Linked DNA regions of Notamacropus eugenii. The protein of the gene in region 2 interacts with the protein of the main gene of each other region in a pairwise test. Links are inferred from orthologs where the notes say so. Each region holds a gene or a part of one and is shown on either strand. Other genes may lie near its edges.

Region 1 (7,176 bases), on a different chromosome or scaffold from region 2:
GAGTTCTAGTTTAGACCTGTTGAGTTTGAGATACTTGCTATGACTCTGTGTTACAATTGTACAGAGGGCCTTCATTGATCTAATTGTCTTCAGGGCTCGTTAACGCCCTTCAGAATGCCATGCAGAATGGCTGCATGGTATAGTGACTGGAGCTCTATCATGTCAAATCTTGCCTATGTCATAAGCTATCAATGTGACCTTAGAAAAGTCATTTAACTTCTCAGTGCTTCTAGGCAACTTTCTAAGATTAAAAGTGGCAGAGTTACTTTTTTTGTGGTGGCAAAGAACTGGAAGTTGAGGGGATGCCCATCAGTTGGGGAACAGTTGAACAAGTTATGGTTTATGAATATAAAGGAATACTATTGTTCTATAAGTAATGATGAGCAGGCAGATTTCAGAAAAACCTGGAAAGACCTGCATGAACTGATGCTGAATGAAGTGAGCAGAACCAGGAGAACATTGTATACAATAACAGCAACATTATGCAAGTATCAACTTTGATAGACTTAGCACTTCTCAGTAATGCAATGATTTAAGACGATTCCAGAAGACTCATGGTGGAAAATGTTATCCACACCCAAAGAACTTTGGAATAGGAATGCAGATAGAAACCTACTATTTTCTTTTTTTCTTTCTCATAGTTTTTTCCCCTTTGTTCTGATTCTTCTTTCACAACATGACTAATGTGGGAATATGTTTAACATGATTAACATGTATATTAATATGTATACCCTGTATCACATTGAATGCTGTCTTGGGGAGGAGGAGCAGAGAGGGGGGATCTTTTAGAACTCAAAATTTTACGACAGTGAATGTTGGAGTAGTAATAAGTAAATTTTTTAAAAATAAGTCTTTTTTGAAAAAATGGCAGAGCTGTTATAGATATGAATTTACACACACACATAAATCATACTGATGAAAATATGGGTCTAATCTAAAAAAAAATCGTTAGGTAAGCTAGAAGTTTATTTTTTATATGTGTTTTTATTGTAAAAGTTTCTTGGACTGAAATGTGCTTTTTGAAATGTCCTATAATACTGTTCTTAGGGTCCATGCCAGGAGACTAATTTATACATTGGCAGTCTTGGATGAAGCCAAAATAAACAGAATTCAGATTATAATGAATACCCCTTAGAGTTATGGTGTATTTCAACAAGTCATTTGTTTACAAATAAATTTTCCCCAGATACCATGTCTTGCTTCTCAGTCTACATTGCTATATAAAATTGGAAAGGGTCCATTTTGTATCATCTAGAGATGTTTGATGAATGAAGAAATGTTGCTTCTCCCCTAAGTCACCTTAAACAAACTTAAAATCCTCTTTCACTTGGGTTGCCAAACTTAATTGAAATCACTGGTCTTTCTCAAACCCAAGGTGATTTTTTCCTCCCCAAATACATTCAAATGGAATAAATCAGTCAGGCCCAGTGACTAAGGTTTGACTTAGCAGCTTCAATACGTCTACCTGCTTCATCATCCTTCCTCCAAACCTACCCTGTCTCACACCTGGTGATGGGGTAAGGGGAACACAAGCTCATTTAGGTGAAAGAAATGTGTTACAGTGGATAGGGGGAAGAGTACTATTCTAAAAGCCAAGGTAGCTGGATTTCACTCTGGGCTCTACACTTGTTTTACTAAATGATCTTGGACAAATAATTTCATGAAGGACTTGTTTACCTCTGAGGGTTGGATTAGGTAACATTTAAAGTTTGTTCTAGTTCTTGGTGCATGGTGGGTTGGGTATTGAACTTGATATCGTGAAGTCCTGGGTTCAAATTCTTACGTAGTACTTAGAGTACCTTTGCGACTATGGGCAAGTCACTTAATCTTTTTCAGGCCTCATCTCATCTGGATTTATAATAATAGCTATAGAATTTATATTATAGGATTGTTGTGAGTTTCAAATTATTTAAGTTATTTTTCAAAAACACTGCCGAACACAATAGAAATGTCGGTCATTATTATAAAAGTCTATGAAAGGTGCTTGTTCTACATTTCCAAACAGCAGACACAGGAAAGGGACTATGGCAGTAAGGAATTTTCAGTAATGTAACAAGGTATGCAGTATATGAGTAGGAAGGTAGGGTTCTTCAAGATCAGGATAAAAAAAATATCTGTCGTTGTGAGTAGAGAAGGCAAGGTCCTAGAGCTCTTTTATTTGTCTTATATTTCTTTCTTTTAAAAAAAACACTTAAACTATGCTTGATTTAGTGGTCAATGTGAATGCTGAAAATCAGCTGAAATGAAGACTCAAATTACTGTCTATTTGTAGTCCCACCGTTATCCTCCACATGTCACTTATATAGATCACTGCCTTCAGTTTTGACTAAATCAAATCTAAGGCAAAATCCAAATTTGGGACATAAGATTCTATAAATCCCTGTATAAAGGAATTTTGCAAACAGAAGTGAATGTTAAATTTCTGTACCTAAAAGGAATGGGTATAAAACTAGATAATATTTTAAAAATAAGCAACTTCTAAAGTTATTGTTTTTTGCATAAATATGCATAACCAATAATCATTTATTAATCATCTACTATATGTCAGACACTTCAGCACTGGGGATTTAGAAAAAGATAAAATACAATCCTCACCCTTTGGGAGCATAAATATGTACTTTTATATCTACATGTCTCTATTTCTATACATATAGATATATGTATGTATTTATGTATGCATAAATATAGTCAATAGTTAAACATTTATTATGTATGTACATATTCATACATATAGTATACCTCATTACTTATATTAATATAGCTAACATTTCTATGGAGCTTACCATGTGCCATATCACAACAACCCTGAGAGTAGGGGTTACCATCATGCTTATTTTACCGATGAGAAAACTGAGAAAAACAGAATTTAAGTGACTTGCCCAGGGTCACACAACTAGTATCTTTCCATTTTTCCCAACTCCAGGTCCAATGCTATACCCACTGCTCCACCTATAAAACAAAGAATGATAACTTCAGAAGCTAATGTTTTTTTTTTATTTCTAAATCCAAAATTGTGAGCTAACTTTTTGTTTTTAACATCAGTTCTCTCTGCAAAATCCTATAACATTGGGGTCTTACAGAACTTAATTTCCCAATAATGCTATAGATAGCTATATAGAGATACGTAAAAGATAGATGATAGATAGATAGAGTGGATAATGGATGGATGATGGATGGATGGATGGATGGATGGATGGATGAGAGGATGGATAGATATATGTGTGCGTGCATGCACAATACGTATGTGTATACATGCTCATGTGTATATATGTATATATCAGAGAGAAAAACAGCCGGATATATGTATCTATGGCTATATGTGTGTCTCAGTGACTGTATAGGGGTGATTATATATGTATATATCCATACACATATAGCCATTGATACATATATCTATATATACACACATGTATGTATGTAAATATGCATTTCACAAAAAGAAAAAAATCTTAGTCCCATTTCAAAAAGGGGTGAAATAAAACCGTCTCCCCACTTCCCATTCCCCCTCCCCATACCCACTTATCACTAATAATGGTTTCTGGCTACCGTAAATTACGTTAAAAGCTCAGAAGCGACTACTGTGGCGGTTTGCTCCTCGTAGAAATTCCCTCCGTAGCCCGCTTTGTAATCGGGAAGGAGGAAACCCCCGCCACCGCTGTTTGGCTGTGCTGCAGCGGTTGTTGATGTAATCTCTTTGCCCAGTGGTGTTCCCCATCGCTTCCCGCTTCCCCCATTCCCCCCCACCCCTTTTCCTCCGGCAGACGGAGACAGAGTGCAACTCTTCAGCCACAATAAAGGCTTTTTGTAACTCGATACCTTTGCCCACTAGAGCTGAACTGCTAGAAGGAGAGGGGTGTGGGGATAGGGGTTGGGGAGGAGAGGTGGGGGAGGCTACCGATGCGCCCCTCGCCTTCAGTTTCCCTTGGAATCGTGATCTCTCCCTCTCCCCATCAAGCCCTTTCCTCCCACTGGGGCCTCCAGCGGAGGCTGCTGCTGCTGCGACTGCTGCTATCACAGCTGCGGTTAGAAGTGCATCCCAGGCTGTGGGAGCTCATTTGGAAGATGCAGGTGGTGTTCCTCTGGTGTGGCTGGCCCCCACAGTATTGGACCTCACACACACACACACACACACACACACACACACACACACACACACACACACACACACACACACACACATACTGCTTCGTGCTTTAGTTGGGTTGCGGGTTCTCTTCTCGCCCCCTTAGCATCTAGAGAAGAGAGCTTTGGAGGGGATTCTCCCTATCTCTCCCCCTCTCTCCCATCGCCCTCTCCTCACTTAAGGGAGCTGGAGAGATATTTTGGTGGCAAGAGGCACCTCGTCATTTCCGCTAGCCTGTGTGCTGTGCCTGGGGTTTTAATCTCCTAGCCAGAGACAAGTCTTGGAGTTTGGGGGTGGGGGTGGGGGGCTGGAGCTCTTGAGAAAGAGAGAGCCATCAAGGCACTACTGAGTTATAGGAAAGCTCGCCTTCCAAGCCTTGGTCGAGCAGCCTCCCGCCAAGACGCCCTAACCTAACCCTAGCCCTGCTTAAGGAAGCAACACCTAGGAGCAGCGGTGGTGGCAGCAGCCACCAGCAGCCGCAGCAGCAGCAGCAGCAGCAGCCACCAGCAGCAGCAGCGGGTGAGGGCAGCAGACGTCTGAGCGTGCTCAGCGTCCCCCTCCTTCCCCCCCACGGGAGAAGACAGCAGTATGAATTGGAACCCTACATAGAGAGAGAGAGAGAGACAGACAGAGGAACGGAGAGGAGGAGGTGGGGAAACAGCTGAAGGGACTGAGCAGAAGGAGAAGGAGGAGGAGGAGGAAGAGGAGGAGGAGGAGAGCTGCGATTCGGTGGCGTCTCCCTCCCTCTCCCGGGCTGGGCTGCCTGGCGCTGATGCTCTAGGTTCGCTGAGAGAATTTGCAGCAGGGAGTGCTACCGGGAAACCTGATACAATAAGGCAGTCTGCTTCCCTTCCCTCGACTCCCAGCCATCCATCTACCCAGAGAGCACCCTATCCTCTCTGCGGGAGAAGAGGAACCAGAGGGGAAAAGATAAGATTTCTAGGGTGCTTTTTGCTTTTCGAATTCTTCGCCTGACAAAGAAATCAATCCCATTCCCAATGGCTCTTATAATGGAACCAGTGAGCAAATGGTCGCCGAGTCAAGTGGTGGACTGGATGAAAGGTAATTCCGATGGTTAGACTGTGAGGTTTGGGAAGAAAGGGGAGGGGACCGAGGAGGAATTCTTCCTTTAATCAGTTAATTAGTCGCATTTTCCTTAATTTAGAAACATTAGCACGGCATCGCTAATAGATATTGAAATGCGTTTTATCAGCGCCTAGGCATTTGTTTTGGATTCCGAGTGGAATCTCCTCTTCTGGCCCAGAGACCTATGGATTACCCACCCACCCACCACCCCGCCATCATTTTGAATGAGGTGATCGGATGCTTGGAGTCTTCTCTTGACTATCCTTTAATGTACTACCCCCCCACCCCCCACCCCACAGTAAACCCCCATCTTCTTGTTTTGATTCAGTCATCCAAGCTGGGGCCCTCTCTCTTCCTCCAGTAGGGCTGCCAGGCAGGTGTGCTTATGCGAGAAAATGAGGGGTCTCGGGGCGGGGGGGGGGGGGGGGTGTCTACGGAAAGGCAGACCTCTCTTGCACAGGTTTGGCACAGGATAAATCCGGCCACAGGGGAAAAATCTCGCTGGCGCAGAGCTTGCCAGGGATAGAGCCCATCTGGGGATGCTCGTGCGGGGGCGATGAGAAAGCTCACACTTTCTAAATGATCTGCTGTCTCAAGCAGGTAGCAGAGTGGTTTATCTGTGTAACCTTTTAATCGTGCGTATTACAAGTCTCCTCTTTTCCTCCTATCTGTTACAGTTACAGGAATAAGAAGGAAAATCATGAACGTGAGACTCCTTCAAACTGTTGTTTGTTTATTTTTTTGGTTTAACGTCTACCTTCTAAGATCCCAGACACTCACAGGAAATCTCTCGCTAAACTACCTTCTCTGCACCCCCCCTCTTTTTTTGGCTTTTCTTAGTTTCTCTTCCCATCTTTCCTTCCCCTTCGACCCTCTAATGTGCTATTTCGGGACAAATAGAACACCAATTCTAAGGCGATACTTAGAAATGATGGGGTGCTTCAGCGGTGTCACGGCTGGTGCCGCGGTGGCAGAGGCTGCAGGGCTTTCCCCAGAGTCCACGTAAAGGATGCTCACCCGGGCCCTGGAGAATTGCTCTGCTCTGTAATGCACGATGCCAGTGCGCTACAAGAGACGCGGGAGAATTTCCCTCTGGGACCCGCCAGGCAGGCCGAAATCAATTGTTTTCAGTGCTGCCAATTCACCCCCACTCCCACCCCCTCCCCTTCTGGTTCACTGCAGACTGGACTCGATCAAAACCCTGAAGCGGCTGATGCTTATTTATATGTCGCTGATGATGCATTACGATGTCAGCAACTGCCCCAGAGTGTAACACTTCTCTCTCCATTTGCAGTCTTTCCCCCCATCCTGTAATATTGCTGCCTCTTCTTATCCACATTTGACATATTTAGTATTAGGTGTAAATATATAGAGATGTCCAACCCCAAGTGGATTTTATTAAAAGACAGAGTTCTAAAGAATCAGAGTACATCTCAGCTATCCTTATTTTCCCTGGGACCTTTTTTTTACAAGAGTAGGCATTTCTCCCCTACACGTATACCTCACTAGCACAACAAAATCCCATATTACCTAGTACTAAAATGTTGGGGAGCTTAAGGAGAGAAAGGGTTTTATCTGAACCCACACAACATGTGTCTTTTATGGGCTTATGAATTTGAAGATGTCAGACAAGACATCTGACAAGAGTCGTATTTATCCAAAAGTACAAATACTCTAGATAGAAGCTCACAAGACTGCTTATCATTGATCATTTATGTGTGTGCTTTAATACAGAGATAAGGTACCTTGACTTTCTGTGTCTCAGGTGAGTAGGCACAGCCCAGAGAGGACTGAAGAGATTTCCTCTCCCTCCCCCCATACAATTTTTTTTTCCCTTTTTGATAATTTCTTATTTCTTAGTGTGGGATTTTTTCCATTTAGTTTGTTTTTCTGACCCATATGTCTTTGGTTTCTTGTTTTGATACTCCCCTCATAGACTTTCTGGTTTTACCCTTCATCTTTCCTCT
Region 2 (7,842 bases):
TGCTAGTTCTTCTTCTCATCATTGTAACTGCCTCCTCAGCTAGACAGTGAGGTCCTCTCTCCCTTGCACCTAGCAGCTTTCTACATATTTATTGAACTAAAACACTAAATTCAATCAATCTCAACAAGCATTTACCAAAAGTCTAGTGTGTGCATGACGCAGTTCAAGGCACTGGAGATACAAAGGTGAGATCACATAGTCCCTGTCCTCAAGGAACTCTCATTTTGCAAATAAGTGTAATACAAAGTCTAAACTGATATGTGTCTGTATGAGTCAAAGGTATAACATAATGGCAAAAACACGAGAACGTGGTCTTAGGCTGCCTCAGGGGAGGCATACCAGAACCTTGAAGATGATTGTCTTGTATTCTACCTTGGTGAGAAACCACATTTGTTTAGGGCAGGTAGGTGAATGGTGGACCTAGACTTAAGACCTGAGTTCAAATCTAGTCTCAGATACCAGACGTGTGACCCTGGGCAAGTCACTTTATCTTGTTTGCCTCAGTTTCCTCACTTGTAAAATGAGGTAAAGAAGGACATGGAAAACCACACTAGTATCTTTGTCAAGAAAACCCAAATGAGTTCACACAGCTAGTAAGTGTCTGTGGTTGGATTTGAACTCAGGAATATGAGTCTTCCTTATCCCAGGCCTAGTGTTCTGTGCACTATGGCACCACCTAATGGCCCATTAGACATGTGCAAATAGTCACATACATTCATATATGTATATGCATATTCATATATGTATATGTGTATATTTTACATGTGTGTATGTGTTTAGAGAAGCAGCTGTTGTCAAGGTTGGGAAGTGTGTGGCACACTGCTTGGAGACTGATCCCACCCCTGTGCCCTCCCCAGTGGCTATGTGCTTCTTGGAAAGTCAGGACACTTCTCAAGACCCAGAGAAGGAGACTCAGGGCAAGGGTTGATCTGCATTGGAAGAGAAAATTTCCTCCTGGGAGATCCCTATACCAAAGCAATTATGCATCAAGTCCAAATAAAAAACACATATCCTCATGTTTACATGTATCCTCCCAGTATTCAATCAACTAACTATTAGGTAGTGAGGTATTACTCTGTGCTAAGTGTGAGGCCACAAATACAAACCAAAAACATTGGTGCCTGCGCTCAAGGGACTTATGCTCTAATGGGGGAAGGTAACACATTAAATGGTACTAAGAAGGGAGGAAGGAATCAAGGTATGATTTTGAAGCCTTCTAAGTCCTAAGGCACTGTGCTAAACTCTGGAGATGTAAAGAATGGCAAAAACGTGGTCCCTGCCCTCAAGAAGCTCCCCCTCTAATTGCTAGGGGCAGGGAGACAACATGCAGGTCCTTAGAAACAGGTTGTATGTTTGTTTTTTGTTTTAAATTTTTGTCTTTCTATCCTTTGCACCTTGTCCAGTTCTTTTTGTGGGTCCTTAATAAATAAATTGGATTGGAGAGGATTATGGAGGCAGAAAGGACAAGGCTTGGCAAATACTTGCTTTGGGGATAGGATGAGGCAGAATGACCTCACTGAGGTTGCAGACCTCACAGACTAGGTATAAGATAATATATATCAATGGACCCTGAATGGACTGGGTGAAATGGGCATTCTTTTTTCCCAGGGTTCTGAAGTGTAAATATAAGTCGATTGAGCTTGGTCCTCTTATTTAGAGGGCCCCCAAATTTCTGCCATTAATAAAAATATGATTTAGTGCCTTCCAGAGCCATAATTTTTGATATACTAACCTGGGTGCCTAAAGGGGTTATTTCAATTCTAAATGAAGTGATTTGTTCTCTCCTTTTTGGTGAGGGCTATTGTGTTTTGTTATATTCCAAATAAAATTAGGAATGGAAAAATATGCTACTGATTCAAGCAAATTGGTCATTGTTCCTCCTTTTAATACAAATTACAAATACCATATAAAATAATTCTGTTTGAACCCCTGCCCCTTCAATTTGTGATGTTATTTTCTCCAAAATAGACACTGATATTTTAACCTTAAATTAGATCTAGATAGGAAATTGACATGGGAGAGAATAAGGAAGGAAAGACAATTGCCTACCTCTTTCTGACATCACTGAGAGCTGTTGCATGTGACATAAATATGTGGGGAAATAGCTTAGAAAAAAAGATATAGATGTAGAGGTCAAAGGAACATTGGTGGTCAGGTTGTCTAACTCCCAGATTTTACAGACAAGAAACTGAGGGATCCTCCCCTCCCCCCAAAATACTTTACTGTAGATATTGTTCCCAGCAAGTTTCTTTGGAATTCCTTCTAAAGTCCCCCAATTCCAAATTTGAAGATCTTTCTCCAAGCAGAAAATACTTTGGACTTGTCTGAAGCTCTGGGTTCTAGAACTGAGCTGCTAGCGATGTGACCTTTGGCAAGTGATTACACCTCAATTCTCACCAAATCCTCTATCATTCTTCCCCTACTGGATTCTAAGCCCCTTCAGGGTAGGGAATGCTTTCATTTTTGTTTTCAAATCTATCAGAGAGTCTGACACACAAAAGACATTTAATACACATTTGTTGAACTAAATCTTTAGGAAAAAATGGAGAGAAGGATGGATTTGTTATCAGTCCCAATTCCTCCACTTCCTAGCTTTGTTACCTTGGAAAAATTGCTTAGTCTTCCTATACCTCAGATACCTCATCTGTAAAACCAGCAATTTGGCTTCAGTGACCTCTCAGGTCCCTATCAGTCCTAGATCTGATTCTATGATCTTACTGTACTTACCTAACTCCCAGGACTCTTGGTACTGTGGGTAGAGATAATATATGTGGAAGCTCTTTGTAAAGAATGTCATCTAACTATAAGTTACTATTAGTATTAATAACAGGTACCAGGCTTAAAGGCAAAACTCAGTCATGTGAATTTTGGTGGCAAGCGAGCTGGTGGATCAATCTTTCAAAATTCAGGGTGCATTATCATTTCTATTAGTCTTTATAAATACCAACATTAAACACAGTACAGTGGGTGCTGAAAATCATTTTAGAATGCCATGAATAAATTGCAAACATTTAAGCTACTGCCCAGACCTTTTTTTTCATTCACTCACTTGCTCATTCAAAAGCTTTACTCTGAAGCTGGTATTCTATCTTATGTACAAGCAAAGCCATTCAGAGCACTTGGCTCGAGTGAGATTGTTTCTAACAAAGGAGAATGGAACAATTTGAAAATTCACAATTCTATTTGGAACCAACATTCCATTTTCGTGTGCCCAGGGCCGTAGGGGAAGCAGCGCTGGGGGCTGGGGGTTAAGGGGAAGTGGCTTCACAAACCGCCCCACAGTATAGCAGCGCAGCGCTGTAAATATTTTGGATGCAGATGAGAAATTGGCAAAAAAACACACTCAGTCTCCCTCCTACACCTTGTATGTTGCGTGCTTCCTGGCAGGCAAACTTTCGCTCTCCATCTGTGTAGGTCAGCAATGAAACGCGGACAAAAATTTAAATCCAGGTTAGAAGCACTAATCAGCCGCTGCTGTCACAGGTACCTGGCGCCTGGATCGTCAGTTGGAAAGGAGAGTTCTCCCTAGTACCGGGCATTTCCCCCGGGGAACTGCAGGCATTGGAGGCCCAGAGGGTGGGGAAAGTGGGGAGGTGGGTGGCAATTTCCATTCTAGGGCTCATCACCCTTCCACCCCCACATCCTTTCTCAGCTTTGGCAAGATGCACGAGTGACCGTGAATAAGGGGCTAGGGGTAGGGAGCTGACCCCCATCCTGTTGCTTATGCAAATTTCAGCTTTGCCCTAGTAAGTGGCCTGGGCGCCGCGGTTGCCTACGCTATTGCTCCTTCTTTTCTTTCTTTCTTTCTTTCTTTCTTTTTTTTTCCTGTGCCGGACGTGTGCGGCCCACTGCTGGAGGCCGATCTCACCCCGGTGCCCTCCCCACTGCTCCATCAGTCCTTATATGCACTGGCTGCCGCGGCGGGCCAGGCTACTCCAGACTGCAAACAACAGTGGGGTTGGGGGATAATGGCCTTTATTTATTATCATAATTTCTTAAAACCATCGGGATGTGGACCCCGACGTAGAAGGCGAAGGCACAATTCGATCCCTGGTGAAGAATCTGTCTTTTTTTGCTGCAACGTTCCCCCCCAACACCGCCACCCCCAGCTCCGCAGCGATAGAATTTCTTCCCTTTTCTCTGACAGCCCCCACCCCCGCGGGTTCGCTGTATGCTCAGGCACGTTGTAGCAGCTCCAGCCCCAAAACAGGCGAACGTGCCGGGGACGTGGAGGTGGTGGTGGTGGAAAGAGGTGAGATGTCCTCCTCTCTGCCTCTCCAGTCCCCAAGAAGGGCTGGTGCAAGAGACTGGGTCAGGAAAAGCTGGGTCTATTGAGCCGGTGGAGGCCACGCCTCTCTCTCTCTCTCTCTCTCTCTCTCTCTCTCTCTCTCTCTCTCTCTCTCTCTCTCTCTCTCTCTCTCTCTCTCTCTCTCTCTCTCTCTCCCTCCCTCCCTCCCTCCCTCTCCCTCCCTCCCTCCCTCCCTCCCTCTCCCTCCCTCTCTCTCTCTCTCTCTCTCTCTCCCCCTTCCTCCCACCCCCCTCCACTCTTTTTTTTACTCCTCCCAGGAAGCTGTGATAGACACTTGTGTGCGGCGCTCTTCCCCCCATCTGAGTGGAGGAGTTGAAGTGTCTCATTATAACAGCCAATGCAGCGGCCATCCACGCACCAGCAGAAAAGCATGTCCCATTTAAATACACCCACGCAGCCTCGACTCCCTTAGCAGCGCTGCGCTGCCGCCTGGGCCGCTCTCAGCACCAGCAGCAGCCCACTCGTGCCTCCTCCTCCTCGCCCTCCTCCCCTTTCCCCTCCTCCTCCTCCTCCTCCTTCTGCTGCTGCTGCTGCTGCTGCCTGGCCGAGGCGGACTGCCTGGCGGCCAGACCTCGGTCCCTCGCTCTCCGCGGCGGCTGCTGCTTGGACTGCTGCGGAAGGTTGCTGGGGGGCACGACCCCCGCCCGCATGAGGGCGGCCAGCCCCTAGAACTAGGAGGCAATTCAGGGGACTGCCAGGGCACCCGGGGCTCGGTTTGCCCGGCAAAGGAGCCAACATGGCGAGCGACTCCCCGGCTCGCAGCCTGGACGAGATCGATCTCTCGGCTCTGAGGGTGAGCTTGGGCGCTCTCGGCGCCTGCCTTCTTTCTCCTCCCCGGGCGGCTGCATCCCACGATCTGGAGGCATCCATCCTTCGTGGACCGCGGCTGGGGGTGGGGGCGCGAGCGGCGCATGGAGGAGACGGTTGTGGGCTCGGGGCTTTAGAGGGACCTGCTGGGGGCTGTTTGCATTGGGAGCTGCTCTAGAGTCACTTGCCTCCAGGCTGGAGATGGATGCGTGCCGGAACGGACGGATGGGTGGATAGACAGACTGGGTTGCCTTTGGTGGTGGGGACTGATGCTTGGAAAGGGAGATGCCCGGGGGTGTGGTGTGGTGTGGTATGGTGTGGTTGGTGTGTGTGTGTGTGTGTGTGTGTGTGTGTGTGTGTGTGTGTGTGTGTGTGTGTGTGTGTAGGAGCAGCTCACGCCGCCGTTTACCTTTCGCACGGGGCTGTGTGTACAACACCCAGTTCGCCATTCCGTTTCTCTGAGTAAGGGCCACTGGCAGCCACCTGCTCCCGGATGCCCACTCCTGGCGGGCATCGGGCAAACGATGGAAGGCTCAGAGCTATTCCCCTTGGGCAAGAATACAATAGTAATCAGTGTTCAAAAAGGCTTCGCCCTCTCAGAGGCAGTCTGCCAGGGGGCTGCTGAACCTTCTGAATTTGGCAGACCGTATCAGGACCAGGGTCCTGATCAATCCGCTCCAGCTCCCAGTTTTCCTAGGGTGTCTTTCTACCTGCAGCCTGACATTAGAACCGAGACCTCCTTGAGTTCCGGGTGTCACCGGGAAGGGAAGGTGGCCCCGAACGGCTTCCAGGCTTCTAGGACGGCTATGCCAGACTTGTCCATACAAACATTTCCCGTCTCCTCGCCCTCCCAGCCTCACTCCCTGTCTGGCTTCCTTTAGGGAGCTCTTAGGGGCTTGCTTGCCCCCCACCCCCACCCAGTCACCTTTATTTATGCCTTTAACTCCGCCTTAGCTCAGGCTGCTGATCTGAGTCCATTGATATTTCAGTTTTGTGACAAGCAAAAGGGAAGATCCAGATCTTCGAGTGTGTGTGTGTGTGTGTGTGTGTGTGTGTGTGTGTGTGTGTGTGTGTGTGTGTGTGACCTGCTATCAGGCCAATTCACCTTTTTGGGAAACTCACTCAGATGCCGATTCTCTGTATTGACCAAGACATCCCTAAGATAGAATCCATTTTGTTGCCGCCGGGTGGTTTTTAACAGCCAAATATCAGAAACCCCGATGCTGGCAGGATGTTTTCTTTTTTCTCTCCCTCCCCCACACCCCAACACTTGAAGCTAAGGGGCTTTATTTTCTTGCCATTTTAATGAAACCCTGCCTACTGGAAAACTGGATGGGGGTGGAGGACTTCAGAGCAGAAGGAGGAGAACATTGGGGGCCGATTTAAGAAATGCTCATTAGCTTTGCATACTACAAAAATAGCATTTCCCTGTGTTTGATGTGTCCAGGGTCGGAGAAACTGAATGGGCAGGTACAGAATCCCAAATACCTATATGTTCTCCCTGGCGAGGGATAAAACCTGGTGCCCAAGGGATGCCAAATCTATTTTTTGAGGGGGGTGTTATTTCTTTATCGCTTTCAGAGCCCGAATTAAACTCCCTCTCTTTTCATATATTTTAGAGAGCTATTACTGTGATGGAGAAAATCTTGGCACATTTTTTTGGAATAACCACTCACTTGAATCATATCTCTCTCTCTCTCTCTCTCTCGCCCCCCCACCCCCTTCCTCTCCCTCCTCCACCACCCCTAACTTTCCCTTCTGATTCTTTTGGTCTAAGGGAGGGGAGAGGAGGGGGGCAGTTACTGACAGGTAGACGTCTGAAGGAGTAGGCATAACATTTGCAGAGATATGACCATTCAGACTTGGGGTGGGGTGTGGGGGAGTGGGTGAAGCTCATTCACCTTTTAACACAAGAAGGTTTTGGGAATCCTTGCCCTGGCACTGATTGCCACATTCAAAAGGGACAATCCCTGGTGACCATCTTGGCACAGCTAAGGAGCTCTGAGGTTGTGAGTGAGTAGCTTTTATCCTGAGGGTTTTTTTCTTTAAAAAATGCAGCTATTCCTATGTCCTACTTTCTGCACCCTTGAGTAGTGTGGCTGTAGGAGAGTGAGTGGTGGCTGCATAGCAGTTCAAGGTGCAGAGAAAATGGGAATTGGGCATCAGGGACTGGAACAATGGAAACCACAAATGCCATTTCCTCTAGGATAGTGATCCCAAGCAGTTCCCTTTGGAGAGAATTTCAAGTTGAGGGGGATGCATGCCTTTCTGTTGGTTCCCATGGAAGGTTTTGTACAGTTGAATCTGAAGGAATACAGAGCTACCTTGCAAGCATCCATGACCAGTGGGTAGGGCTGGTTTGATGCTGTCTCTAGTCACATTCTTCTTTCCTGTGTGTTTCACTTTCTTGCCTGTGTGTTTCAGAATACCTGGTTTGTATCCTGTACTGAAACTGACCAGCAAGCCTGAGGCTCGCTGCTCTGTGTTCCTTCTCTGGCATACTGCCAGGTAAGGGTGGGAGAAAGATGGCAATGGCAAAGCATCAAGGAGGAGAACTGGGAGGAAGGAGGCCTGGTTAGGGAGGAGTCCATGAGAGACACAACTTAAGCCCAGGCAGGATGCCAAGTTGCCCCCAAACTAGGATTATTCCTCTGGGGTCAACAGAGAAAACTGTTGGTGAGGAAGAGGGACAGAAAGACCGAATGACATCTTCTGGATCCTCACAG
Region 3 (7,519 bases), on a different chromosome or scaffold from region 2:
ACCGAGCTCTGAAAGGCGGGCTTTCCAAAGGTTTCGGTGTGCAAAATTATCCTTGCCTGAGTCCCACAGATGTCAGTGGTGCTTAAATCAAGACAGACTCTCCCAGTTCCAAGTACTGGTGAAACCATAGGCCGGGGATAGGGATTGGATCGGAGAATTTGGGTGCAAAAAACTAGGATTACGGATGGTGTCTTTGGAATAAATCCATGTCCAAATTCATTATCTTGTATTTGCTAGCTACTTCTTTAAAATAAAGATGGCAGGTCAATAATTAGCCAAGACAATAAAGGCATGACTGGAAATCAAGCAAAATTAGTCGATGTAGTGGTGAAGACCAATCCTTTCAAAGAGGAATAAGAGCCTTTATGACTCAGTTGGACCTTATGAGGGAGTTGAAAACCTGAGAAAGACTTTCCAAAACTCTTCAACGGAATTTTAAGTAAGATCCTCTCTAAATATATATATATACATATGTACATATGCATACACGTATCTGTATATATGCACAAAGGCAAAATAGATCTTATAAATAATAACCTCATTGAAAATGCAAATCTAAGCCTAGTTATTTTATTTGGCAACCAAGCCAGTTCTCAGAACAATAAAGGGCTTGTCTTCCAAACTTCAGAGAGACAGGCATATCAGAAGTTACTATTTTCCACAAGACAACAGCATACAAAGGAGGCGGTTAGGAGAAGGGAAGGTTTTCTTGATCAGTTTCATCCAGAGCTTGGTCTATCCATGATTAGCATAACGTCCTTTTGCCAGAATTGAAAAGAAAAGGATTGTTGGCTGGCTGGGAAAAACAAAGCCCTCCCCCTGATAACTACTCTCCTTTTCCAAAGTTTCTCAAGCATTTGAAGTTCTCAGGGGCAGCCCTCTACTCTCCAGGTCCTCCAGTTCCTAAGGGGGCTGGTTTCCTAAATTCCCAGGTCCTTCCACAGAAAGGAACTGAGAGGCAGGTGGTATAAGCACAAGACATACTGATCTCATATAATGGCTCTTTTCAGTGGGAGGAAAGACGGGCCTTAGTCTCCCCCTGAAGATTTATTTTCTTTACTCTCATGAGGGATCCTTCATATTGTAGCAAGAGAACAGTGACCCCAAAGAAAATAGATCATTGCTAAACTGTAAGTGCTGAGCTGAGGCCTCTGACATACTTCTCAAAAGCAGATACAGAGACTAGAAAATGATGTTAAGGTCTCCACTTGTCAAAGCAAAGCAGAAGATGCAAAAGGGGTGGGGTGGAAGAGAGGCTGGGGAAAAAACACTCTTCTTATCTGAACTACACTGGGTTTTTGCAATTCTCAATTTCGCAAACACTAGTGCAAACCTAGCTATCTGTGTCAGCCTTCAGTTGGCTAGGACGATCAGCAAGGCATGGGTCCTGGACCAGGCTCAGAAACAGTCAGAGGTCATTGAGTTCAAGACAAGCTTTCACCAAAGCCACTGCAGACAGAGGCTCTTCAGCCCTCACTGTACACTGGCTTGTTTCCTTTGAATGAAGACAGACGCCCCTAAATGCTGCTGCAGGAAACCTGATTGGCTGCACACTGTGAGATAGAACATTTCTGCATGGAGCTGTCTCTTTATGCCTAAATGCCTGCATTAGTTTGGATCAATATGTCCCCATAACAGTTAATCCATGGAAATGCAACACAGCAGAGAGAAATTGACAAAGAAATGCAATGTGTGTGTACCGTTTCCAGGTGCACATACACATGAATCCTGACCCCTGGGGGAAAAGTGGTAGAAGCAAAAAAGCAGCTAGATCTGCCAAGACACCAGCCCTGAAGGGCTCTGACGGCTAGGGAGGACAGCACGGGTTGTCAAAATGGCTTTAGAGTGACATGTCACCATCAGGATGATGAAGTAGGCATTTTACTGACACTGGCGCTCCTCAAGTCAACCAGACAACCCTCACACAACTGCAATGCAGCTTTTGCTATCCATCCTAGAATCCATACACCAGCCCCTTGCATTGCTGCAGCTGAAACCAGCCAGGTCTCGTGCAGCCACTACCCACCCATGCTCACAATAAGAATATCGATGCATAACAACGTTTGACGGTAGGAAATGGGAGGAAAAATAATCGCCACTACATCTAGAGAAATCAAGAGGGGGAGGGGAAGAAAAAGTCAAAAGGTAACTCACCTTTGACTTGTGTTTCATATTCAGCTATGATCTCTTTGTCTTTCTTGAACTTAGTTTGAGATGACATTTTCTGAAGGGGCTGCACCAACCCCGATTTGTTTTTCCCCCGATTTCTTCCCCGGTCCTCCCAGCAATAGCAGGAGTCAAGGCGATTTCCAAGGTTTGGGGACTAATCAGTTTCACTTGGCTGCAGAAGGGGAAAGGGGGAAAAACCTTCTTTCTAGCTTGCAGGAAGAATTCTCTTCATTTGCGGGGGGGAGGAGGAGGGGAGCAGATAATAACTGACTTCGGTCAGCTTGTCTTAAAAAAGAGTAGACATCCCCCTCTCCAAAAAAGCACAGCAACCTGCTTCAGTTTTTTCAGACTTCTCTTTAAATATATGTATGTATATATATATATATCTCAAAAACATTCACGCGCACATGCAAACACACACACACACACAAGCGCTCACACACTCATTCCAACATGCACACTCACAATCGCGGTCTATGCATACACACCCTTGCACTCACACCAACACACACACACATACACACACACAGAGGCTCCTCCTTTGACGTGCAATCAGCTCCCAGAGCCGATAAGAAAAGCTCTCCAGGTTTGTCCAAAGAAATGGTCAGGTTGCCAGAGGGGCTCTCATCTCGCATCTTCCCTCTCTCTCTCCCTCCCTCTGTATGTCGTCCTCGTCCTTCCAACGGTCAGATTTATGGAGACGATCAAAGCCAGGAGAGAGAAATACAAGTTTTCCTTCTGAAATGCATGGGCTCCAATGAGCCGGGGGGCTGCAAACTGGAGCTGCTTTCACTGCAGGGCTGCCTCTCGCTCGCTCGCTCGCTCGCTCGCTTCCCCCCAGCACCACCAGCGTCGCGTCACGGGCCAGACTCCACCTCCTAGATTTTATAACAACTGACACATTGTAGCCTACAGGACATCACAACTCACTGCAAGCGAAAAGGAAAAAAGCCCCACCAAAGGGACCGCGACCCGGAGAAAGGAGCAGGTTAGCACAGACCGAGAGGCCACCGAGGGAAGCAGAGAGGAAGGCGGTCAGCAAAACCTGGGTCTGGCCTCGGAGGTTTCCCAGATGACTTTGTCTCGTGAAAACTCACGGTCTTTATTCCGAGAAGACTTGAAGGCTGGGGACAGGAGCTCACAGTGGATTTCACAAAATTTGCACCCGCCTCCCCTCGCCTTGTGCAGAGGCAGTATACTGGACGAGTTAGAGCCTTGGGCTGAGAGGCAGGAAGACCTGGGTTCATGTCTTGCCTCTGATTCAATCCAGCTGTGTGGCAATGGGTAAGTTAGCCCTCTCTGCGCTCCAGTTTCCCCATCCATAAATGTGGAGAATATCTGTGCTCTGTACCTCTCAGAATTGTGGTGAGATTCCAAGTAAAGTGACTTGTAAATTTGAAAATGCCATATAAACATTAGTTATTCTCGCACCCTCGATCATGTCTGTCCTTGCCTGACTATAGGATCCTGGATGTAAAGCTAGAAATGACCTCTGAATTTATTGAAACCCATCTCGTCATTGTAGGGATGAGTAAACTGAGGCTGGGGGTGGTTAAGTAATTTGCCCCAGGGTCACAATCTAGTGTCTGACCAAGTATTTGAACCCACGGAAATCCTTAGCCCCCTGTTACAGATGAGGAAACTGAGATTCACAGAGAGTAACACACTTTCACAAGGCTATACAGTTTCTGTAACAACATACCCACTGTGCCCTGCACAACTGGGAGGCTTACGCTTTTCCACGAAGGGTTCCCTAGCTCTGGGCTCATGAACAGACTGAGGACAGTTTGGCAGCTAGGTAGTATTCCATTGAAAAACAGTTGACCTAGACAGATTGGCACATCTCTCAGAAGCAGAGAGAGCCTAACAAATGGTCTTAAGGTCTCCATTTGTCAAAGCAAAGCAGAAGATACAAAAGGGATGGGATTTGAGACCCAGAAGACCTGAGCTTAAATACTCCCTCAGCCACTTAATGTCACAACTTCTCCCAAGTTCAGTTTCTTCATCTGTAAAATGGGAATAAAAATAGCACCTACTTCAGTGGGTTGTTGTGAGGATCAAATGAAATCTACAAAAGCACTTTATAATTATTAAAACACTGTATAAATGTTAACTATTATTATTCAATTCTAGGGAAGCTTCTCATGTAAAGAAAGGGATCAGCCTTTTTTTTTTTTTACTGTCTCTGGCTCTTCACATATTTCCTCACCCCACCCCAATCCTAAAACCTAGGAAGAAATCAAATAGAACATAAGTGTGGCTTCTGTTTAGGGTTTCCCAAAAGGGAGTAGAAGGATAATCGATGTGCAAGGTATATCAGATATAGGACAGCTATTTATTTCACACACACAGGAAAAATGCTAAAAACACAAAAGACTCATAAGGATGCACTGGCAAAAACATGAAGTGTGATACTGTAACCCATAACTTCTGTTAAATAGTACTCTCCTAGAAGATTGATACTTAGAACATTAAAACATAGAACACTTAGTGGGACAGTTGACTAGGCATTTCACTTTCACCTTGACTCTGCAACATCTAAACAATTCCTTCAAGATATATGTCTTCAGGTCAGGAGAACAAGGCCTTGGGCTCACCATCTTTTCTGAGAAAAGTATAATTGCAGAAACTTACTCCTGCTGCTAGTCAACTCAGAACAAGCGATGGAGGAACCCTCTGTCTTTCAGATTCAGAAGGTTGCCTCCAAGTCTAGAAAAATCCATTTCAGGACTGCTTTTATGTCACCTATTCTTGGGGAAAGAAGCACAAGTAGAAAGGTAGATAAGGGACCCAAGGCTCAGGCTCATCTAGACAGCTCCTGAGGATGATGACATTGCTACCACCTGAAGGAGGTACTCCTCCCTCCCTCAAAGGGAGAGAGTCCCAAGGGAGTCCCAAAAATCTAGCGGGAGACTTCTTTGCCACATATTCTAGAGAGAAGAAGATGAGAGCAAAAGTTTTACTCATTTACAAGTTGAGTCAGGAGGCTGCTCTTCATAATAAAAATAACAATAGCTAGCATTTATATAACACCTACATGTGCCTGCTGTGTTAAGAATACTTTACAAATATTAGCTCATTTGATCCTCACAGCAGCCCTGGAAGGTTGGTGTTATTATTATCCCCATTTTACAGATGAAGGAACTGGACAAACAGAGGCGAAGTGACTTGTCCAGAGTCACGTAGCTAGTGAGGGTCTGAGGCTGGATTTTAACTCAGGTCTTCCTGATTCCAAGTTCTTTGACCTCTCAGCCACCTCTCTTCCCAGCTTAGTGTCCAATAAGAGAAGTATTTCATCATCTCAAAGCACATAGTCCTTCAGTGCTGGACCAGAAATCACATGGCCAACCAGAAGTAGCCTTGAGTACCCACAGATCACCCATTTACTCCCATTATTCCAGCAAGTGGCACAATTGGCATTTGAACCCAGATCTTCTAACCTTAAGGCCAGCAAGAGTTATCTCACAGTGTCCTTGGTGGCACATACACTTCAAACACAGACTCCCATTGAAAAATCAACCCTCAGCAACTGTTTCCAGGATGCTTCCGTGCTAAGCCAATATACCAAGACATAAAAAAGGCAGTAGTGAAGACAGAGCACAAAGCTAGACCCAGAGAACAAGTCAGGGTGATTATCTAGGCCCCTACTTAAAGGCACCGGATCCTTTAGTAGCCCAGTAACATGAGTGACTGGGGCTAAAACAGGTAGACTGAGAAGCGGAAGAGAGGATGCTTTTGAAAAAAAAATGCCGGGTCAGGGATCCAGGGTTCAAATCATCACTGTCATTTCCTAGCTGTGTGACCTCGGACAAGTCACTAATTTCCTCAAGTATAAAATGAGGGAATTGGACTAGGTGGGCATTGGGGTCCCTTCCACCTCTAAATCTGCATTCCCAGGATGAGGAGGAAATGGTTTCTCCATCAGCTGGTGTTTCAAAACAAAACAAAAGAAATCTTGTAGTATAGTGGGAAGAACCTTAGAGTAAGAAAGCTATTTGCTAGCTGTGTGAACTTGAGCAGAACACTTTGAGCTTCAGTTCCCTAATCTGTAAAATGGAAATGATCCTTCTTATACTACCTACCTCAACAGACTTGTGAATTAGTGTGAAATTACGTGTGCTTTGTGTGAATTAAGGTGCTTTGTAATTGCTAAGGCATTGTACAAATAAACATCAGTTATTATTATACTCGCAGCCCCTCCACCTCCTCTTCTTTTGTCACCAAGGCGATGTGGGCTGGACTGGCTGCCTGGCAACTAAGTCTGCCTCCCCCTTATCATTTCCACGTCCTCTCAGGCTACATGTGACTCTCTCCTGACATCTCGCCTTTGGCTCCTTTTCTTCCCCTTCAATGCTGACTCTTGATTTGTCCAATCTTGTTCACTGATCAATGGCTTTTGTTATGATTCCAGGGGGGGCTTGGGGGAAGGCAGGATGAAGTGTACAGAGTATAATTTACCTTGTTCCCAAGGCAAGGGAGAGGAGTCATTTGTTCCATCTAGGTTCTCCAGCTATGGAGAGATCATTGGTTATAGAATCAAAAAACTTTCATTCAAATCCTGCCTCTAACATTTATTAGCTGTGTGACCCTAGGCAAGTCACATAACCTCTTTCAGTTGCCTTATGTGTGAGATGAAGAGGTTAGACTTGATGACAGTTCAAGTCTCTGTCGCTCTAATTCTATGATCCATGTTATCCTTGGGATGGCCCTGGCTGGGCATATTCACTTGAGAAAGTTCAATTCCTTTCTTTCATTTGGGAGTGGGGAGAAGATATTTCAAAGAATCTTGGAGTTATAAGAAAATTCAGAGATCACCTAGAACAATTTCTGCCTAAAATATGAATGTCTTCCACACCATCCCTGCTGAAGGATTATGAGCCTGTGCTTGACTACCTCCAGTGATGGAGAACTCTCTGCCTCACACAAAAGCACATTTCTCTCCAATTAGAGACATGTTGTGATGCCATTTTTCCAATGTGCCTGAGGTATAACCTTCAAGCAACAGAAAAACTGACTGTGCATCAGGGTTTGTTTCTCTGGGGTCTATAATCTTTAAAATAAAAATTTTGATAACTGTATTTTGATATAATTGGTTTCCTTTGTAGTCCTCTGTGTTTTATTTTATATATTAAAAAACATCATTTTGAGAAGAGGTCCCCAGGCTTCACATTTCGACTTCCAAAGGGGGACCAGGATGGAAGAAAAGGTTGAGTCCCAGTTCTGGATGCTGATGGAAGAAGTTATATAGTAACCAATATGGAAATGTGTTTGGCATGACTGCATATGTATATCCTATATCAAATTGCTTGCCTTTTCAATGAGGGAGGAAGGAAGAGAATTTGAAACTCAA
Region 4 (6,891 bases), on a different chromosome or scaffold from region 2:
TTTTCAAGGAAATAGTGTGAAGTCATTCAAAATGGGTCCGTTACTTCATAGGAATGTAGAGAGAAAGTTGTGAAGGTTTTTGATGTAAGGGATAAGTTACATCAGGTCTCTGAATAAATTTTTCCAAATCTTTTTAAAGGAATGAAGAGGAAAAGGATACTATAACTGTTTCAATAAGGTTGCATCAAAAAAAAAAAAAAAGACTTGTAAGATATTTTCAATGTTTTTTTTTTAAAGATACTCTAGGAAGTCACTAATTTTTTCTTTAATCTATAACATTAAAAGCAAAACAGGATGTCCCAAAAGTGCCATTTTAAGCTAGTAAAGCTGTACTATGGTGAAACTAATTTATCCTAAGTGCAGATGATAAAGGAAAATGCTAATTGTTTCTATTTATTTTATTAAGCACAAATTTCCAATTGTCTTGACACAAAGGAAATTTGTAGAAAGAATAATTCTGTTTCTACATTCAAGGGGTAATGTAGTCTAACATTCAAATATCAAATCTACCCAATTTAATCTTTACAAATAAAAGATACTGACTCTAAATGGAAAAACTGACATTTAATTAAAAATGAATGATTAAAAACTGCTGAATAATTTCACTTTACAAACACAACCCAAAAATGCATCCAAATACAGTACAATACTACCTGCAAGTATCATACAGTTTTAGGTCATCGACACTGCTGGATCATAAACCTTTCACAAGCAATATCAGAAAAATGAGGAGGGGGGTGGGGATGAGGGTTGGGTTTTCAACAATACTCTAAAAAGTAGGACGTCACAGAATATAGGTTTAGTGTAGAAAAAGACCTCAATGACTAAGAATTGAAAATAAGGAATGCCCATGAACTGGGGAATGGCTGCAGAATACAACTGTGCTATAAGAAATAACAGGCAGAAGGATTTCAGAAAAGCCTGAAAAGACTTGCATGAACTGATGCATAGTGAAGTGAACAGACTCAAAAGAACGTTGTACACATTAATTGAAATACTGTTCGATGAAGAACTGTGAATGACTTAACTATTCTCAGCAATACAGCGATCCAAAGCAATCCCAAAGGACTAATGATGAAGCCTACAATCCCCCTCCAGAAAAAGAATTGATATTGATTGAATACAGACTGAAGCATACTATTTTTCACTTTTATTTTTTTCTTTTATTAGAGTCTTCTTGTACAAGATGACTAGTTTAGAAATGTTTTACGTAATTGTACATTTATTGCCTCTGTTTGCTTATCTTGGGGAGAGGAAGGGAAGAGAAGGAGGAACAGAATTTGGAACCAAAAACTTTAATTAAAAATGGTACAGAAAATGAAAAGCCACAAAGGCCATCATGGAGTCTAACTCTCTCGTTTTATGGAGGTCCGGGAAGGTTAAAATTTGTCCAAGGTCAACCAGGTAGTGAGAGGCAGAAGCAGGAGCTGGAACCCCCCTTCCCTGCCCCCCCATCCGCTAGCCTCCAGAGTCAGTACTCCTTCCAGATCACGACGGAATGCCACAAGTATATGTAGGAAAAAGCCATAGGAAGGCTACCCACCAATACCAACACCACCGCATGCCTAACACAATGAAAGGGACACACCCGAGACTGAAACACGGAACATGAATGATAAAAAAAAAAAAAATACACCCCCGAAGCTCCTTAGTTAGTGCCCGACTCGCAATTTCCTCAGGAGTACCTAGGGAGGGGAGGAGGACAACTATGCACTGTCATCTGGGGTGAACGGAAGATTGCTCGAGCCAAACCCACAAGGTGACAAGTAGTAGTAAACAGAATACTCGCTTCCCCGCAAACCCAGCCGGGAAAGAAGTGTAGACGTCCAGCTGGAGCTTGCACATGGCCTTCCTTCTCCCCGCCCCGATCCCCAAAGGCTTCCAAAGGGAAGGGGATCCAAGAACGCGAATGGAGGCTGACAAAGCAAAGCGGGGCTGGGCAGGGATGGGCCCCTCAGCCCCGCAGCTCGCCCCGCGAAGCTCGGACCCGCACTGCCACAGCGCCACGGGGGCACCCCCTGCGCTGCCTCACTGCTCTCTCCTCCCAGGACACTCCACGCAGGGCGATGGGCAGGGGACCTGACACTTCGGAGGCTTCCCCGGAGAGGCGGGGACCCCCCGGCCTACCTAGGCTCCCCCCGCTTCCTCAAACAAAAATAACACACACCCCAAAAAAAGAAAAAGCTCAGTCACGTCCTTGAAGGTCCGAACCCTGCGTGGCTGCGGGTGCAGGGCCGGAGCGGGGAGGGTCTCCGGGACCCACCTCTGGGCCCCCCCACCCGATTCTTTCTTCCTCCCTCCTCCTCCTGCTCCTCCACCACAACACCGAGACCGTCCACCCCGAGCATCCGCTGCCTCCCGTGCCCGCCCAGCCGCTGGTCAAGGCTTCACGCTGGGCCGCTCCGGCCTGTCCGGCCCCCGGAGCGCGGCCCGGGTGAGGGGCCCCCGCGGCGCCGCCGCAGAGCTGGGGGCGGGGAGGGGAGCGGGGCCGACACCTCCTCTTACCGGCTCTGGGCGGGGAGAGGGACGGGCCTGGAAGGAAGGGCGGCCTCCGGCTCCGGCTCCGGCTCCCGCTCGGGCGGCGGCGGCGGCAGGGGCTGCTTAGGCCGGAGGCCCCCACGGGTCACTCGCCGCCGGCCGCCCGGTGTTTTCATACAAACCCCGGCAGCAGGCGAGGAGGAGAAGGCGGCGGCGGCGGCGGAACCTGCCCGCATCCCGGGCAACGTCACGGCGCCGCCCCGCCCCGCCCCCACCCGGCTTCCCGCCCCCCTGGTCCCCCGCCCCTACTCCGGGGGGAGGGGGAAGCACGCGCCGCCCCACCCCCACCCCCCACCCCCGTCTCCTCTCCGGCGGGGGGAAAGCACACGCGCTGTCACGGTGCCTCGCCGCCCCGCCCCTCCCGGCTTTCCCCTCTGACACCTACCCATTCCCGGTCGTCTTGAAGACGGGCTTGGGCAAAGTGTGTGGGGAGGAGGAGTAGTGTGGGGTGGGCAAGGGGCAGAAGGGGCATCGAAAAATGATGAGGATACTGGGCCCCGTAGGCCTAGCCTCCTCCCCACCCCACCCCCATCCTTACCCAGCCCCAGGGACCGGCGCCGGGAGGCGCGAACTGCCAACTGCTGGCACGCGCTGCCTACCTCCCTCCCCGCTAGGACTGCTGGCTCGCGAGGCTGTCCTAGCCTTTCTTCAGCTCCTCTTTGCATGCATGTGCCAGATGCTGCCCATGACCGCGCCGTGTGCTCCTGGGATCAAACAGCACACCTTTCCTGGGACTAACCGTACTGGTCACCCACCCGAAAGCGTGGAATTCCTCAGACGTGACTTCTTTAATGCCCATTGGGTGTACAGAACTATCACACACTGAATTAAATGGCAAAGATCTAAGGCTTCTTGGAAGGGGAATAACACTTAAAAAGAGGAGACAATACGGGCAAATACACAACCAGCATATATTGTTTCGTGTACTTTGCATACATACAAAATGTAAATTATATTTTCAGATGTGGGTTTGATTAGAGGCGGAGGAGATCTTTTCCAGCTCCCAGATTCTGTGAATCTGTTGAAAGCAGTCACACGTGGAGAAAGCCCGTTCTAAGAAGCTCCGAAGGGATGGTGTGAAATTACTCCTTACCGCCAGACTTCTGGGAATGTAGAAACCTATGGTTGCAGCAGGCAGAAGAGGTGTGGTTCAGCCCTCCCTCCCTCAAAACAAAGTCAAATGCAAATCATGTCGTTATTTCTCTGATGGCATGGTCTTCTTCCCGCCACGAAGGAAGAACCCATGCTTCGGTGGTTATTGGTTTGGTTTCTTTTTCATGAACGACGCTAAACAAACGAAATAGTGTTATAACAAATCATCACCTGATGGCTCCTGTTGCCTTATTAGAGCATGGACACGACCCTGTGTTTTTTGAAAGCTGTTCCAGTAGAGCACAAATTCTAAAAAGTTTTAGCAAGCTAGAAAGTCTTAGCCCAGACACTGATGAATCAGGTCACAGACATATATTAAGTGCCTGCTATATGCTAGGTGTTGGGCTAGATGCTGGGAATATAAATTTTTAAAATGAAATAGTCCCTGCCCTCAAGAAGTTTACTTCCTATTCTTGGGAGACAATATGTATATTTAAGATTAGATTAAGTATTCTGTACAAAAGAAATGATAGCCTGTATATCTGTATATACAAAAAGAAGGCTTAGATTCAGAAATGTTCATTGGCCAGGGTGGGGCCACTAGGAGGTGAATTTTTCTAAATCAGAACTCATGGAATGTCTACTAAGATGTGGAAGAGTTGCAATATGGGAAGGAAGGAAGGGAAGAAGGGAGGAAGGGAGGGAGGGAGGGAAGAAAGAACATCCTATAACACGTAGAGTTGTTCTTTTGTTTGTCTGGGGAAAAAAATCTCATCATCAAGCAATTAACACTGTTTTCCAGACTAGACTAATGAGTTCTGTGGATTATGCTTTTATGCATGTGATGAGGCTTCATGGTATGTTTTGGCAGCACCCTCTCAAAGAATTCAGTCAGATCAACTCTAATCCAAGTATAGGCATTTATGGAAGATTGAAATATCTCATGAAGTGGGCTAAGTTCCAAGAGGAACCAACAACTTCAGAGAAAGCAACAAGTATATTAAAGAAATCATGAATATTAAAAGACAGGAGTTTGTAATAGGGGAAGGGTCCCTAGGTGGTCATTCATCCTGGTCCTGCTACCTTCTGATTGGCTAGCTACTGTGATCCTGTTTTGGGCTAAATGAATGATGTGATTGTAGTTGAATACAAAAACACACCAGTTCAAATATGGGAATTGGATCTGGGGGCAGTGGCTGCAATGAGTCTGGAGGCATGTGATGTGGTTAAAGCCAGACTTTGTGGTTAAATCAGGACATGACTACTGGTCAGTGGGGCCCATAAGGGAGTTAGAATATTGGGGCTGAGGGGCAACTTTATTAAGACACCAAAGTTTTGGTTCAAAAAATGTTTGATAAGGACCATGTTCAAACATGTTCTGGTAATGATAAAAGTTGAGATTTTCTTTTTCCTATTTCTAAAGTGATAATGGAAAGGGCATCAAATTTGGAAGCTTGAAGACCAGAGTTTAAGTCCCAGCTAAACCATTCACTAGCAGGAAGTATAACACTGAATTTCACCTTTTTTCAATGACTTTCCCATATGCCTAGAATGTTCTCCCTCCTCACCTCTGCCTACTGACTTCCTTCAAGAATCAGCTCAAATCCCACCTTCTACCTGAGGCCTTTCCAGGTCTCACTCTCCCAATTTCTAGTGCCTTACCCCTTCAACTTACCTTCCATTTATACTTTGTATTTTGTATACATAAATTTTTGCATGTTGCCCTACCCAACAAAACGAGTTCTTTGTTTTTCTTTGTATTTCCCTTGTTTAGCACAGCATGGTATATAGTATGATCTTAATAGATGTTTATTGACTGACTGGCTGAACCATAAGGTTTAGACAGATGTAAGTCCAATCACTTCATTTTACAAATGAAATTGGAGCCCAGAGGTATGGAGTGACTTGTCCCTACTTAACTCCTTTGAGCCTCAGTTTCAGCATCTATAAAATGAAGGTATTACATGTCCTACCTGCCTCAGAGAATATTGTGTCAAAACTTTCCCTCAACCCAACCCAACCTTCACAGTCATCCATCTCTCCTCCCATTAAGATGTTAAACTTCTGGACAGCTTCTCCTCCCTTCCACCTCCTCACAACTTGCCCACTCCTGCAATCTGGCTTCCATCCAAACCAGTCTACAGATCCTGTTCTCTCCGTGGTCATCACTCACCTTTTAAAGATCATATCTAATAGCCTTTTCTCAATCCTCATCCTGGGAAAACTTTACATAGCATTTGACATTGTTGACCATCTGACCTCTGTTAGTCTTACCTCTCTTGTCTTCTATAGCACTTCCCTCCCCTGGTTCTCCTTCTTTCTGTTCCTCAATCAATCAATCAAGAGACATTTATTAAGCATCTACCCTATGCCAGGTGCTAATGAGGGCTGGACAGATAGAGGAATGAGTGGAGTTCCCTTCCATGGGTCATCTGGAAAAGAATTCCAGACTCAAGCATTCTTGAGGTCAAGGTAGTAAAGACTTACTACACTTTTCAGTGGGCAGGGGTTCTTAGGGCACCTGAGATTTGAATGGGGTACACGTAAAGTTCATATAGTATATTCTATAGTAAAACATGTGCCAAGCGTGATGACTAGGTGATTCAAGAGGGACTGAGGTATGGTTAAAGAGTGGTTAGTTCTTAAAGGAACATGCACTTTTAGTATCTACTGTGAAGGCATTTTACCCAGAGTTCTTTGAGAAATAGAGCAAGAGGGGTGGGGTGAGGGGCTTCATGAAGGTGTGATTTTAGACCTGAAATGGCACTAAGACTACTAATGATCAGGACTGACTAAGTAATATCAGGCTGCTCTCATCAATGTCTTGTTAGAAAAGATAAATGTACAAGAGTATACGTATGTGTAAATCTAGGGTACCTATGATTGGTCAGTGAGTAGTAAATGTCGTTATGACCCAGTACACAGCCAGTTCAGCCAGTACACAACTGGTTCAAAGTAATAAATTCTATGGGTGCAGCTGGCTACTGTAGCAGAAAGCAAGATAATGGTTTTTGCTGGGACAGGTTGTTCTTGGACTGGGGAGAAACTGCCTGGAATAGTGTTTTGAGGCTAGAGAGGAATGTGATTTTTAGAGAGAGGTGAGATTTTAGAATTGGAGTCCAAGCACAGGCACCCAACTACCCAATCTGTGCTGTACCTAACACTGACACAAAAGACAAAACAAGTCAAAAGACAGTCCCAGCCCTCAAGAAGCTTACAATTCAATGGGGGAGACAATGTATGTTATGTATGTGTATGAGA

The links.
Region 1: the proteins of TNIK (region 2) and CNKSR2 interact in a two-hybrid assay, tested with the Homo sapiens proteins (2 studies listed by BioGRID and IntAct). The link is inferred for Notamacropus eugenii from reciprocal best matches to the Homo sapiens genes TNIK and CNKSR2.
Region 3: the proteins of TNIK (region 2) and SRGAP3 interact in a two-hybrid assay, tested with the Homo sapiens proteins (2 studies listed by BioGRID and IntAct). The link is inferred for Notamacropus eugenii from reciprocal best matches to the Homo sapiens genes TNIK and SRGAP3.
Region 4: the proteins of TNIK (region 2) and AGTPBP1 interact in a two-hybrid assay, tested with the Homo sapiens proteins (2 studies listed by BioGRID and IntAct). The link is inferred for Notamacropus eugenii from reciprocal best matches to the Homo sapiens genes TNIK and AGTPBP1.

What each region holds. Positions count from the first base shown.
Region 1 is NC_092876.1:456,435,468-456,442,643, reverse strand, and holds the start of CNKSR2 (connector enhancer of kinase suppressor of ras 2), read left to right. Parts: upstream 1-4,174; 5' UTR 4,175-5,121; coding exon 5,122-5,185; intron 5,186-7,176.
Region 2 is NC_092877.1:352,749,053-352,756,894, forward strand, and holds the start of TNIK (TRAF2 and NCK-interacting protein kinase), read left to right. Parts: upstream 1-4,825; 5' UTR 4,826-5,045; coding exon 5,046-5,102; intron 5,103-7,842. UniProt on the Homo sapiens protein: Serine/threonine kinase that acts as an essential activator of the Wnt signaling pathway. Recruited to promoters of Wnt target genes and required to activate their expression. May act by phosphorylating TCF4/TCF7L2.
Region 3 is NC_092874.1:436,048,133-436,055,651, reverse strand, and holds the start of SRGAP3 (SLIT-ROBO Rho GTPase-activating protein 3), read right to left. Parts: upstream 3,020-7,519; 5' UTR 2,222-3,019; coding exon 2,155-2,221; intron 1-2,154. UniProt on the Homo sapiens protein: GTPase-activating protein for RAC1 and perhaps Cdc42, but not for RhoA small GTPase. May attenuate RAC1 signaling in neurons.
Region 4 is NC_092872.1:76,678,812-76,685,702, forward strand, and holds the start of AGTPBP1 (cytosolic carboxypeptidase 1), read right to left. Parts: upstream 3,010-6,891; 5' UTR 2,924-3,009; intron 2,740-2,923; exon of another isoform or gene 2,506-2,739; intron 2,334-2,505; exon of another isoform or gene 2,168-2,333; intron 1-2,167. UniProt on the Homo sapiens protein: Metallocarboxypeptidase that mediates protein deglutamylation of tubulin and non-tubulin target proteins.